Diceros bicornis minor: one gene and its partner. The protein of the gene in region 1 interacts with the protein of each later gene in a biochemical or structural test. Links are inferred from orthologs where the notes say so. Each region holds a gene or a part of one and is shown in the gene's direction. Other genes may lie near its edges.

Evidence for each region.
Region 2: the proteins of GPRASP1 (region 1) and OPRD1 form a complex in vitro, tested with the Homo sapiens proteins (2 studies listed by BioGRID and IntAct). The link is inferred for Diceros bicornis minor from reciprocal best matches to the Homo sapiens genes GPRASP1 and OPRD1.

Annotation. Positions count from the first base shown.
Region 1 is NC_080781.1:95,539,572-95,547,306, forward strand, and holds the start of GPRASP1 (G-protein coupled receptor-associated sorting protein 1), read left to right. Parts: upstream 1-4,733; 5' UTR 4,734-4,798; intron 4,799-5,113; 5' UTR 5,114-5,448; coding exon 5,449-7,735. UniProt on the Homo sapiens protein: Modulates lysosomal sorting and functional down-regulation of a variety of G-protein coupled receptors. Targets receptors for degradation in lysosomes via its interaction with BECN2.
Region 2 is NC_080752.1:44,095,203-44,102,155, forward strand, and holds the start of OPRD1 (delta-type opioid receptor), read left to right. Parts: upstream 1-3,944; 5' UTR 3,945-4,137; coding exon 4,138-4,364; intron 4,365-6,953. UniProt on the Homo sapiens protein: G-protein coupled receptor that functions as a receptor for endogenous enkephalins and for a subset of other opioids.

The DNA of each region.
Region 1 (7,735 bases):
TCCCCAGTGCCTAGAACAAAGAAGGTACTCAATACATACTTGTTGAAGGGATGACAGACACAAGTAACTTTAAGAAAGAGAAGAAAGCAGTTCAGAGAGCCACAGAGATCCACATACATCCACAGATCCCAGCAGAGCTCAGACTCCCTTCCTCAAGCCTGGCAGTAGCCCAAGAGAGTATACTTTGGAACAAAGGAAAAAAGTCCACAATTCAGCAAAGCCTATTTAAATAGTACAGTAAAAGAGGCCTTCCTCTGAAAATTGACATCCATTGTCTCCACATACTGTATAGCATCGTCTCCAGATGTTTTTTTCCTGTCACCAAAATATTGCAGAGTTATAATAAATATCTAAAAACAAATTGTAAATTCATGGTAAGAATACGATTCCCTTTTCACCCTGAAAAACATCAGTGATTTTTAGCAAATAGCGACTTTCTCCAAGTAAGCCTCAAAGACCACTGCAAAAATCTCTTCTTTAGAAAACGGAGAGAAGAGGATTGCTGGAGAGGGTGGTTATAGTGGTGAGAGATGAGCCCCAAAATTGATCCTCCCAGGAGCTGAAGCCCAAGTAAAGAAAGTCAAGGGGAATGGACTTTATCAGGATGGTGAGTGAATTCGGTTCCTACTGCTGCTGTAACAAATTACCACAATCTTGGTGGCTTAAAATAACAAAAATTTATTATCTTACTGTCCTGGAGGTTGGAAATCTGAAAAGGGTCTCACTGGTCTAAAATAAAGGTGAAGGCGGGGCTTCATTCCTCCCAGGGGTTCTGGGAAGAATCTGTTTCCTTGTGTTTTCCAGCTTCTGGGGGCTGCCGGCATTACTTGGCCTCTGGCTTCCTTCCATCTTCAAAACCAGCAAGGGACCTGTGGGCCTGTCAAGTCTTTCTCATGCTACTTCACCGTCACACTGATTATTCTGCCTGCCTCTTCCACATTTAAAGTACCCTTGCAATTGCATTGGCCAGGATAATCCAGTGTAATCTTATTTTAAATTCAGGTGATTAGCAATTGTGGGGGAAGAGGGAGAATCCCCCTCTGCCCTTTCCCTTAAGGTTCTTATGGCTGGCCAAATAATTAACAAGACAGGTTAGCAGGAGAAAATAATACCCAGTTTAATAACATGTATACATGGGAGAAACGAGGGAAACTGCATTTCTCAACACAACAGCAGAAATTCTCGTCTTAAATACCATGTTCAGCTAAGGACAAAGGAGGATGTTGGGGGTGGGGGGAGTCAGTTACAGGAGATTACCACTAAAGCACAGTAAACAGGAGTAAGGTTATTATGCAGATTTAAGGCCTCACTTTCCACATTGATAAGTTTCTAGAAATGAGGTCATTTCCCCTCTTCCCAATACAGAGAGGGAGATACCTTTACAAATGGAGATTTCCCTTATAAATGTAAATGTTTATCTGGCAACTCCTTGCAGGGCCATCCAGAGAATGTGGCCAGAGAGACAGAACTTCTGATAAGATGGGCTTGTTGGTGCCTTTTCTATTGTAACATCTATTTTACATTATATTACAGCCATCAGATAGAAGATGTGTTCCAGGAAGGAGTTACTATGTCAAATTCTTTAGGCAGTTAGTGGGGGAGGTCAAATGTCCGTCAGAGAAAACAATCAAGGTAAAGAGATATATTCCAGGGTGGCCAGATCTTGATCTCCCACACAATCTTAATTGCACCTGCAACCTTCATTCTCCTTTGCCATGTAACATCACATATTTACAGGTTCTAGAGAACAGGACGTGGACATCTTTGGGGGACCTTTATTCAGCCTACCACACTGAGAGTGCCATTTAATTGGGTTTTAAAATGGGCAACAGTGCCAGCAGGTTTGTACTCACCCCTGGTTGTGCTTACGCACCATTGCTCTGTTTGCCCCACGGAGTGCAGAAAGGAGGGGTTCAAGACTAGAGGAAGGAGGTAGGGATGAATGTACAGGATTCAAGAACCACCAGGTTTCTGTCTTGAGGAAGTGGGTGCACGATGGGGCCTTCTCCAGGAATGACTGGGAAAACTAGACAAGTGTGTATGGCAAGTGGCTGAGATCCAAGTTGGTTGTAATCTCTGCCACATTTCCACACTGCCAAAGGTCAGGAGAGCTTGAAGTGACTGCCAGAGAAGACTGGACAGACCAGTGGAAGAGGAGCCAGGACCAGCCCTACCTGGTGCCTGACACTTGGTTGTGGGGCAACAGAGAAAGAGGGTTGTATGACCGGGTGTGGGTCCTGACAAGGAAAGGCCTCTTTCTTAGGCAACTGTGGGGACCACAAAATTGTCAAGTGTGTTACCATTTCGAATGAGAAAGCAAGCGTTGTGGCAGAAAGAAGGACTCTGGGCACAGACCAGTGGTTTGTTTCCTTAGAGGTCTAGGTCTGCCTTCCTCTGGAAGAGGGGCAGTGGTGAGGCCTCCATGGGAGCCCCCTCCCACCTCCCTCCTCTCCGCAGCCCCATGAGGCAATGAAACAAGAACTTGGGAGGGCTCCCACCCAGAACCTCCGGGGCGGTCTGGCCTTAAATCGCCTCTCCCCTCCCAGCCTGCGGTCCTCAAAGCCCCTCTCCCATCAGCGTTCCGGAAGGATGGCGGGCGGGTGGGGAGGGGGCGGTGGGCACACTCGGAGCAGTCGGGGGGTTCACACACACACACACCACAGACACTGAGGGGCGGTTGGTATCCATCCGCTGCTCCCTCCAGCGCGGCTCCTCCCGATCCTGGCCCCCAGCGCCAACCACCCGCCGGTCCCCTATATCGTAGTGCCGGCAATGAGGGGGTGGTCGCCACGTAGGTGGCCGCGGAGGGCTACTGAGGCAGGCTGGTGTTAGCCCGCCCCTCGGGCTGGAGCTCCTCCCGTCCCCGCCCCCTCTGGGTCGGAACTACGGTGGGCCTGGGAGGGGGCGTCGAGCCCATTCGTGCCGTATCCCTCCGCCCCCCTTCCCGACACCCCTCGCCGCGAGCTGTTCGTGCCGCATCCTGCGCAGCCCCTGCCCGTTTTGGTGCAGCGGTGCGGGGGGCGGGCCGCCTCTTGGAAATCTGACTGCGCGGAAAGCGGTGGGACTCCGAGTGAGGAGCTCCGAGAGGAGGGGGAGGCCGACGACCTGGGCCCTGAGCCTAGAGAGGCAAGTGGGGGTGTCGTGGGGGGCGCGGGGGTGGTCCCCCACTGTCGACCGGCTTCCAGCCCGCCCTCCAGACCCTGGCAGCCTGGCAAGGAGGAGACGAGCCGGTCGGAGCCGGTCGCTGAGAGAGGTGCGCAGCGCCGGGGGACCCCTGGCGCTGAGGAGGCGGCCACTGGCGCGGGCCGGGGCCAGGGCGCAGGGGCTGGCCCGAGAGACTCCCGCGGATCCTCTGGAGGCGAATCGCGCCCGGCGCTCCCGAGCCGGCTTTCCGGGCGCCCGCGCCCCGCCCTCGACGGTGTCTGTGCTGGGAGAGGGCTGTGGGGGAGCCTGCTGCGGGAGAAATGGCGGAGCGGAGCGAGAGCTGGGTCGGGGGGCGCCCGTGGAGGCCGGCGGGGCGGGGGTGGTGTCCGAGCTCTGCGCCGAGCCGGCGGAGCGGGACAGTGGTGTGGGCTGCTCTGGGCCCTGATTCTGGAAAGGGGCCTGTTGGGCCCCGCGTCCTGGGTGCTGTCCCTTCCCACAGGCGCCTCGTTAATGCCGAAGTCTCCTGTCTGCGCGGTAGGTCTGGCGACTTCAGGCTGCAGGGTGCATCTGTAGAGGAGACACTTGCGAGCAAGGAGGAGCAGGAAAGTTGCCTGGATTTCTGGAGGTGTGTGGGGATGGGGGGTGGGCAGCCGCCATTGACTGGAGAGCCGAATGGGGGTGGGCTGACTGCGACCAGAGCAGGTCAGGCATCCAGGAGTACCTCCTCAAGTTTTCCTCTCTACCAGCTTTGTAGGCACTTCCCTTGCTTTCCTTCCCTGCTCTTCTCTAATTGGCACTAAATGATGGATTTTGGAGGTGGATGTGACAAGGGAGTCATAATTACAAATACCACTTGAAAATCTGTTGTCTAGAATATGCTGGGTACTTTCTCCAATTTATGGTGTGCGGCGCAGGGAACTGTGAACACCTAGTTGTGAATCCTCAGAATTGGAGAAGGGAGTGATGAGGAGAGTGATGGGAAGAGGAGGAGTTATCCAGAAACTTGAAATAGAGGGGTTGCATTAAAGAATATTGTACCAACTGGACACTAAATGTTAAAAGACAGATAATATGGGTACTTTTTATCCTTGGTGTTTGTCGGACTACCAAGCACTGAGTTGCTACCATTATTTCCTTGCTGTCTTATTTTTCGCCTCTTTGTTCATAGGCCTGCTTTAAGGCTGATCACCTCTGCAGGGAAGGAAAGGAGGAAGAGACTGGCTCAAATCTCTGGAGGTTGGTGTGAAGAGGGGCAATGCAGGGGACAGCTACAGAGTAAGATCATTGGTGTTTGATCCAGTTGGGTGTCTTTGATTCTCCTGTCCTACTCTCTGCCAGATTTGCACAGTGCTGCAGCATCCCTTGTCCATTTCCTGCAGGAGCTATTAGGAATATTGGGGTAGTTGTGGATTGGGCTGTGAATGGGAGGAGAAGACCTGGGAACAGGGACCAGGAGACATGTAACGTTAGGCAAATTGGACCCTTAAACAGGAAGAGAGATGTTTACATCAGGGGTCAGGGTGTCTGCCTGAATGCCAAGCACTCAGACTCCATTTTCTCCTGTATGTTGTCTGTAGGATGGCCTGCTGTCTGCTATAGGGCTTAATTCCACTGGAACAAAGCAAGGAGGGGAAATTGCACCCCATCAGTGCAGGTTGGTATGAGAGTGGGTACAACTTGGGCTGGGAGTGGAGACCAACACAGACCAAAGAGTGATTAGGTTCTAGTCTGGGGGTTCTCAGCCTCTCTCATTGCCAACACACTTTCCCACCAACCTCACACCTGTTTTGTAGCAGGCAAAGTACCGTGGCAGCTCTGGGGGTGAAGGGTGTGGGCGAAATGTCGGTGACAGAAAGACTCTCTAATCTGAGTGTCTCACCAAGCGTTCAAAGTCCAGTCTCTGTGAGTCTCCGCGTGGAGCGACACAATTGAAAGAGACTCAAAGTCCCATGACATTCTCTCTTCCTAGATCCATCCACCTCCAGTGGCAGCTCTGGTGGTGTTGGAACTGCTGCTGACCACCACCCTCTACAGGTCTGCACCCACCCGGGAACCATCCATCCTCCCCCAGCTTGGTTGTGCTTCTGCTGCACTCTTGTCTGTAATATTGGCTGAGGCTGGGCCTGAGAAGGAGGCTGATTGACTGCTGGACTGGCGATTGACTTTAACTCTTGTTTCCAACTCTATCGTCTCCTGAATCACTGACGGATCAGAGCGTGAAGATAAAAAACTGTGACAGATCCTGTGGTAGAGGCTGAGACTGGGGTAGGAGTATTTACCTGAGTCTCTTCTGTAACTTGTACTATGACTGGGGCCGAGATTGAGCCTGGCGCCCAGGCTAAGCCTGAAAAGAAGCCTGGAGAAGAGGTTGGGGGTGGGGCTGAGAGAGAGAATGAAGTCCCACTGGTGGTCAGACCCAAGGTTAGGAGCCAGACCCACGCTATGTTTGGGGCAAGGCCCAAAACTGAGTCCCAGGCTATGTTTGGGGCAAGGCACAAAACTGAGTTCCAGGCAATGGCTGGGGCAAGGCCCAAAACTGAGACCCATGTTTTGCCTGGTGCAAGACCCAAAACTGAGGCCATGGCAGAAGGTGGGACACATCCTAAAACAGAGGCCAAGGTAATCCCTGGTGCAACACGCATGCATGAAGCCCATTCACGGGCCCAGACTGTGTTTGATGCTGAGGCAATGTTGAAGACAGAGGGAGTGTCCCAGACCAGTGCCATAGCCTGGGCACTGGTTGGTACTGAGTCTGGGTCAGTTGCTAAAACTAAGACTTTGTCTATGGATAGGGAATTGATTAATGTGGATACTGAGTGCTTTCCTGGCACCAAGGTCAAGTCTCAGTCAGGAATCCAGCCTTTGTTTGGGTCAGAGGAGACCAATATCCGGTCATGGTGCTGTCCCTGGCCTACATGGAAACAAGAGGCATGTCACAATTGTGATTTCAGATTGGTGGATGGATCTTCTATGAGTTCCTGGTTCTGGAGTGGAGAAGATTTTAGTACAAGGTTTCATCCTAGGGACAGGGTAAAGGCCAATACCAGGTCCAGGCACATGGCCAAAAAAGAGGCCTTGTCTAGGCCGAAAACCAATCAGGAGCGCTATATTGTGTCCAGTTCTAGTTCTGAGGATGAATCTGTTAAGACATCCTTGTTCTGGGTCAGAGAAAAGACCAATATCTCGTCCAGGCCCAGGGAAGAGAACAATAGCAGGTCCAGGTTTAGGTCCAAGAAAGAAGTCTCTGAGTTCAGTTCTGGGTCTGAATGTGAGAACAATGTGAAGTCCTGGTTCTGGGCTGGAGAAGAGGCCAAATCCAGGTCCAAACCCAGAGCCAGGAAAGGGGCCAATGTCAGGGCCAGGCACAGGGCCAAGCGAGAAGCTTCTGTTGATTTCATGTCTGGGTCTATAGATATAGTCAAAAAAGAGCCTTGGTTCTGGCCTGGAGAAAAGGCTAATAACTTGTCAAGGCCCAAGTCCAAGAAAGAGGCCAGGGCCAAAGCAATGGCAAAGGAAGAGGCCAAAACCAAGGCCAGAGCCAGGGACAAGCAAAAAGCCAGGTCGGAGGAGGAGTTCCTCATTGGGACCTGTTTCTGGGCTGCAAAAGAATCCAGCATAGTGGGTGGGGCCAGTGTCAAGTCCGGTTCTCAAGTGGAGGATGAGTCCATTGTTGGCACTTGGTTCTGGACTGAGGAAGAGGCCAATATGGGGACTGAGGTCAGCAGTAAATCCAGACCAAGAACTGAGGAGGAGCCTATTGGCAATTCCACGCATGGGCTTGGGGAAAAGACTAGTATGGAAACTGGGGCTGAGGCCATTTCCAAATCTCTGCTACCAGATGATAAAACAAAGGTCATTGCTGGTTCCTGCTTCTGGGCTGCTGGAGAGACCAACCCAGAGGCTGAGGAAGAGACCATTTTTGGGTCTTGGTTTTGGGTCAGTGATGAGGCCAGTGTGGAAGCTGGTGTTGGGGCCAGCTGTGGGTCCAGGCTAAGGTCTGAGGAAGAAGAGGTCATTGGTCCCTGGTTCTGGGCTGGAGAAGTCAATACAGAGGCTGAGTTTAGAGAAGAGGCCAGTCCAGGAGCTGAAGAAGAGAAAATATTTGGGTCCTGGTTTTGGGCTGGAAATCAGGGCCAGATGGATTATGGGGCTAAAGTCAGCTGTGACACCATGTCAGGGGCTGAGGAGGAAGAACCTATTATTGGGTCATGGTTTTGGGCTGGAGTAGAAGGTTATGTGGGGGCAGAAGTCAGCAACAAGTCTAGCCTGGAGGACAAGGAAGAGGTTATTATATCATCATCTTGGTTTGGGACTACAGAAGAGGTCAATATGAAGTATGGGGCTGGTACTAGATGCACATTTATGGCAGAGGCTGAAGAGATCAATATTGAGTCTTGCTTCTGGGCAGAAGAAAATCCCTGTATGTATCCTGCCAGTGGAGGCAGCTGGAAATCTAGGCCAGAGGAGGAACAGGACACTGTTGATTCATGGTTCTGGTCCAGAAAATACACAAGGCCAGAGGCCATTACAGGACCCTGGTTATGGGCTGCAGAAGAGGATAGTATAGATGATGGAACTGGAAAAGAGACCA
Region 2 (6,953 bases), on another chromosome or scaffold:
GGCCCAGGATTTCCCATCTGTTTTTGTTTTTTTTTTTTACCCTGAAGTCAAGGATGGGGACAAGCTCCAAGCAGACCCAAACCTTTCAGTAACCCAGGCTTGGAGGGCTGTGTCTACTCTGCTCCACCAAGAGGAGGGATGGACTCAAGAATCTCCTGAGCTCCCAGGAACTCATCACCCTCCATAGTGGGGAAACTCTGCCGAGCAGAGACAAGAACGATGGGTTCTTGTGTTTTTGGGGGGTGACTTTCTAGTTTTTGCTCTGAGAGGTAGCGTAGTGTGGTAGTCAGGAGACTGGCATTTTTTTGTGTATGTGTGAGGAAGATCAGCCTTGTGCTAACATCTGCCAATCCTCCTCTTTTTTTGCTGAGGAAGACTGGCCCTGTGCTAACATCTGTGCCCATCTTCCTCCACTTTATATGGGACGCCTCCACAGCATGGCTTGCCAAGCAGTGTGTTGGTGTGCAACCGGGATCGAACCGGCGAACCCTGGGCCACCGCAGCAGAGCGCACGCACTTAACCGCTTGCGCCACCGGGCCGGCCCAAGGAGACTGGCTTTTTGAGTCACACAGACCTGGCTTGGCATCCCAGCTCTGGCTTGGGCACTAAGCTAATCTCTGCAAAATGGAATAATAATAGTAGAACCTCATGCCTATAGGGCTGCTGAGGATTAAATGAAATAATCCACAAAGCATTTAGCCCAGTGCCTGGCACACAGCAAACTCTCTATAAATGGCAGCCAACATGATTATTTATGAGTTGTCACCACAGAAATGAGATTGCCTTTTAAAGATAAATAGACTAGAATGCTCACATCCAAGTAAGAATTGAGCTCTTCAAAGTACTCTCTGTGGGAGGCCATGAAAGAAACCCCTTCCCATGCCTTTCCAGTTTCCATGTGTTCTTCCAATGTCCTCAAGGGGGGCAATTCACGTGCAATTGGCACGTGTCTTAGTCAGTTTGGGCCGCTATAACAAAGCACCATAGACTGAGTGGCTTACACACAACAGAAATTTATTTCTCCCAGTTCTGGAGGCTGGAAGTCTGAGAGGGTCAGCACGTCAGGTTCTGGTGAGGACCCTCTTCTAGGTTGCAGACTGCTACCTTCTTGTTGTATTCTCACGTGACAGAGCAGAGGCAGCAAGCAAACTCTTAAAAGGGGCAGTCCACAACAGCATGTATGTTTCCTTAGCCATTATTTCACTCATGTACTTGGTCATCTGCATATCTCTCACAGCTTCTTGACTGTGAGCTCTTTCAAGAGAGCAATGGTCTTACTCAACCTCACGGTTCAATAACTCATGCTCATGCAGCCTTTCTCAGTTGCACCAATCCTGCACCTCTCCACTTTATAGATGAGAAAACTAAGGCTCAGTGAAGTTAAGGGAACTCTTTTTCTGTCTGTTGCCTACACGATAGCTATGACTTTCCACCATAGCATTTCCGTACCCAGGAGGGACTCAAAAAACATTGCAGAATGCAATTTTTAAAAGTTCCCTTCTGCCCCGTATGACCAGAGCACGTGATTGGGGCGGGGATGGGGGGTGGAGTCAGAAGAGGGCAGCAGTAACCCCTGGTTGGGACCAGACTGGGGAAAGCCCCAAATGCACTGTCAAGGAGTGAGGGTAGACTGATTTGGTTACAGCTAAAAGCCAAGAGCAGGGGTGGAGCTGGGAACTAGTATTGCAGTTCCAAATAAGATGTGATTACAGAGTTTATACAAAAGGTTTTAGGCGCTTAAAAGAATCCCTTCGTCCTATATTAATCGATATCTGCTGTTTCCCTCATCAACATGGGAGCTCACCAAAGTTGGAATTGAGCTTCCCATTCCATCACTCATTGAGCATCAGGGACTGTAGCAAGGTGGGGGTACAGATGCGCACAAGAACTGTTGTAGAGTGATGCACAAAAATCCAATGATTACACAAACAAATACGTGGGGAATTCTGTAAAGAAGAGGTGCATGATGCTATGAGAACAAATAACAGAGCACCTGGTCTAGGTGGTGGAGGGAGGTGCAGTCAGTGAAGGTTTCATGGAGGAAGTGATGTTTAAGCTGAAACTTGAAGGATGAATAACATTTAGCCTGGGGAAGTGGCCGAGCCTTCCAAGTAGAAAAGAGAGAGTGTGCAAATGTCCTGAGGTAGGAAAAAAATTGGCTTGTTGGAGGGGTAAGGAGGGTGCCAGAACTCTAATAAAAGTAGCCTTCCTTCCTGTCCCAATTTCTCTCCCCGGCACCAGAAAAATCTCTGAGTACCAGGCCCTTTGGGACAGCGGAGAGAGTTTTGGCAGCACATGTGACCACACAGCAAAAATCATCTGTCTGATGAGTCCTTAGACGGTTGAGTGGGAAAGCCTTGGGGTGGGGAGTCCGCTATAGCTGGTAAGGGGTCTTGGATAGTAGCTGGGAGGGGCAAAGAGAATGGGGAGGAGGGTGAACTTGGGAAATCTGGTTTTGTTCTTTCCGGGAAAGGGTAAGAGCCTTGCACATAGATGGAGGACTCAAGTCAGAGAGTGATATGAGTGAGGGGTCCTTGCTCAGCCACTCACAGGGCCAAGAGCATCACCCCAGAGTTTAGAGCTCAGGAACACCAATGTTGTCCCGTGGCAACTCCCCCCCACCCCAGGGCCTTTATTTATCCAACCAGTATTTCCTGAGCACCCATTGTGACCCCAGCCCTCTGCTAGGTGCAGGGATCAATCAGGCCTGGTCTCCCCAAGGAGGAAACACACTTAGAAATAATTTCCATCTGGGATAATTTAGTGCCTTGCCTAGTCTTCTCGTCTGTAAAATCGGGATACTAACCATAGAATGTACTCCAAAGTGTTGATGCACGGATAAAGCGCCTATCATAGTGCCTGGAACAGAGTAAGGGTTGGTAGAGAGAATGTTCTGGGAAGGACATGAGCCCCAAAAAGGAAGATGGCTCTGGGTCTGGGCTGGTCAGGTTTGGGAGAGGATGTGGGAAGTGCTTCCCTTTCCATCTGCTCCTACAGCCACCAGAGTGATCCTTAAGGTGGTCTTTGTGACCCTGCCCACCACCTCATTCCATTCTCCCCACCCTCGCTCCCTGTCCTCTCCTCTTCATGGCCTCCTTTTGGTCCGTCTGACCATAGGATCTTTGCACATGTGGTTCCTTTGTCTGGAATGCTCTTCCCTTGTTTCTTCTCTAAATTAGTTCCTCCCCAAACTTCACCTCTCACCTCAGGTGTCATTTCCCCAGGGAAGCCGTCCTGACCTCTGGGTTTTGTAGGCCCTGCCACAGGAATGCTTCACTTTCCTCAGTGTGTAACTCTGTCTTCATTAGTGTAGTGTTAGGATTGATGTCTCTCTCCTCCACTGGGCTGCAAGCCCCAGGACGCAGGGGCCGCATCTGATTTTGTGCAGTGGTGGATCCCCAATAGTACCCGGCTCTTATATTTGGCACCAAAAAAATATCAATTGAGCGAATGAATGGGGCGCAAGAAAACCACGGATGATAACAGTTATTTATGGAGCACTTATTGCGTGCCCGGCACTAAGTTCTTCACTGGCATCATCTTATTCAATCTCCCCAACAACCCTGTGAGGGAGGTGATGCGATTATCCTCATTTTACAAACGAGGAAAATGAAGTCGAGAGAGGTTAAGGGACGTGTTCAAGGTCACTCTGTTCGTTGGTGCAGGGGCGAGAGGCAGGATTCATGTTCAGGTCCTTCTGACTTCAGAGCGGCAACGGGTGGGGAGGTAAGTCGCGGCAGGGGTGGAGGTGCACTCGAGCCTGCGGAGCATCCCTAGGAGGGAGTGGGAAGCCTCCCAGCCCAGCTGCAAGCCGGTGGTGCAGCGCCCGCCCCCGGTCGCGGGCGCAGACTGGCGGCCGCCTCCGGGCCACGTGGTGCGCGCGGCGGGCGCGTCCGAGGAGCCCGCAGCGGCTCCCGGCTCAGAGCGCTCCGGGCCAGGACAGCGGGCGGGCGCCGGGCTCAGGGCGGTGCGAGCGGCGAGGCAGGCGGAGGAGGAGCAGAGGAAGCCAGGTGGCCGGGGCGCTGCAGCTGGCGGCGTCGGAGCCGCAGCCTCGGGCCCCGGCGCGCCCCTCGCACCAGGTCTCTGCGCCCAGGGCGCACGGTGGGGAGGGAGGCGGCGCCGGCTGCCCGGCCACCATGGAGCCGGCCCCCTCCACCGACGCTGAGCTGCAGCTCCCTCTCCTCGCCAACGAGTCGGACGCCTTCCCCAGCGTCTTTCCCAGCGCGGGCGCCAATGCGTCGGGGCCGCCAGGCGCACGGAGCGCCTCGTCCCTCGCCCTGGCTATCGCCATCACTGCGCTCTACTCAGCCGTGTGCGCCGTGGGGCTGCTGGGCAACGTGCTTGTCATGTTTGGCATCGTCCGGTGAGTCCGCTTTGGGCTGGCGCCGCGGGGCTGGGCCTCGGGGTGAGGGTGGGGACCACGGACTTGGGACCCTGACCTGGGACCCCGGACTCCCGGGGTCTGCGCACTTCCTGCAGGGGGCACCGGGGACCCAGCGGGGAGACAGCTTCCATTGAGAGGAGGACTGGAATGTGTGTGTGTAACTAAAAAACATTCCATCATCTGTTGTCATCCCCGTCTCCATCAGGCTATGTGGGACAGTTTGGCGACAGTTTGTGTGTCTGTCACGGTTTGTGAGTGGGTGATTCTGTTTGTGACAGTACAAATGTGTGTTTGGACCTCTAAAAACCTCGTAGGGGTGGGCAGAGATGCCCGAGGTGCCATGGGCCTCTGGGGAGACAGCTGTGTGTGGGTTGTCCATGCAGGTGGGCACAGGAGAGTGCGTGTCTGCACCATGCTGTAGGGCACTTACTAAGTCACATTTGGTGATCATCTGTTGGGGTCCCTGTGTTGTTGTGTGCTTGTCCCACACTGTCAGTTGTGATTCGGAGTATGTGACAATGTGACTGTGTTGTTCTTGTCAAACCTCTGAGCCCCTGGGGGGAGGAGAGCATCCAGAGAGGCTTTGGACACTTGTGTTCGTGCACCTGTGTGTGTGTTTGCTAATGCCCCATGTTCCTGGGGACAGGGGGCAATGGCTGTGGGCGGCCCAGTCGGCTTTCCGCTTCCTTCACCAGTGGCCATCTGGTCACGAGCTCAGGAGTTGATTGAGAGAGGCCTCAGAGCCTTCTCGCAAATGCCCCTCATTTTCTCCTCCTCTCCTCTCACAGCCCTTTTTTCTGCCAAAGGCCGCAGTGGTTTGTTAGGGCTGGAGTGGAGTTTGTGCTTTCACCTCGGGAAGCGGAGTTCTCTTCTTGGTCTCTAGGCACGGTGCTGGGACTTTCGCAGAGCTCAAATATCATCAGCTTGCCCAGAAGCAGCCTTCCTGACCCAGCTCTGCCAGCTCAGACAGGGGCAAAAAGGGTGGAAAGGAAACTCCTATCCTATGACCACAAAGATGCCCTGGTGTTAACTGTTGGTTGGAAATGGGTCATCCGTGCTGGTTGACCAAGGGCACGGTCCTAAACCTCTCTGGGCTGTGGTGTCACCAGGCAGAGCAGATGGCAGACGGCAGATTGTGGGCTCAGAAGTTGGAGATGTGAGCTGTGATCTCAGCCCAGTCCCTGGTGCCCGTCACAGCAGAGGCCTCATTTCTCCTGCCCCACCATCTGCCTCAGTTTCCCTGTCTGAAGAATAGAGACCCAGTCTCCTCAATTGGGAGTACGAATTCCAGAGTATGGGGTCTCTGCAGGGCAGAATGTAGTGCATTCGAGCATTGGAGGGGTGGGTGTGGGTGTTGAGGGAGTTTTGGCATCGATGATCTCTGGAGAGATCTTTGCTCCTCCAGGAAGAGTGGAGGGCACGAGAAGCTCCTGTGCCTTCAGTGACTCATCACCAGCTGCAGTGGGAAGATTCCCCGAAGCACAGGCAGGATTGATCTTTGCTTTGCGTTTTTGTCAATGATTCTCCCCACTTTGCCTTTGGAGGTAGTGCAGGCTTTAGAATGGGCCAATCTGAGTATTAATCCCAGCTCTTCCACAAACTGGCTCTGTGACTTGGGTAAATCCCTTAGCCTCTCTGAGCCTCAGTCTCTTCATCTGTAGAATGGGGTAATAATAGAACCTTCTTCAGTAGGGTTTTTGTGAGGTGTCAATGAGCGAGTATATATAATGCAGCCGGCCTGGTGCCTGGACCCAATAAATGGAAGCTGCCTGTGTGCTGAAGAGGAGGAATTTTCCAGATCCTTCAGAATACAGTGCCTATTAAAGAAGGGAGTGAGGGAGGCGCTTGTCCTGAGGTGGGCCTGGGGGTAGCTCTGACTCTGAGAGGTCCAGGTTCCTGGCACTGCGCTCTCTGGGGAGGTCCTGGGAGCTCTGTCTGGGGGAAGCTGGCCTCTTGTCTGTTCCACAGCATGCCCTGTCTCCCTGCCTCCACCTCTCCCTGATCCTGGTTTCAGCAAGTTCACACCCTGCTGTGTCTCCTACCACCCCCACCACCCCCCTCCTGCCCCGTTGCTTCTTCGTGACTCTCTTTCAGGCTGTGTGCTACTCAGTGCTGAGCCCCTCGATCTCTCTCTCGGCCCGTGTCTCTTCTGACTCTCCTTGGATCAAATGCTGGCTCTGCCACCTCCTAAAATCTTCAGCGAGTTGGGTCACCACTCTGCAGCTCAATTTCTTCGTCTGTACAGTGTGGATCATGTTACCTGTCTCATAGGCACCCTTGTCCTAAAGATCGGATAAGACGATGTTGGTAAAGCGTCGTGTTTGCTCTCCCATCCCAGGTGACTGCAGCACAGAGCAGGGAGGGGAGGTTGGGCCAGGCAGTGTGGGCTGGGGCGGGTCACGACAGGTGAATGAGGGGTTCTGGTCATCCCTTCTGTCTATTACCAAGGTGCCAGGGGTTGCTGGGACAGGTGCTCAAGTGTGGGCTTTGCAGAATTGGGAGCTCTGAATCCCTGTCTTGATTTTGGAGGCCCAGCATGAGCGCCTTGCCTTCTTGTCTCCCTTCCCT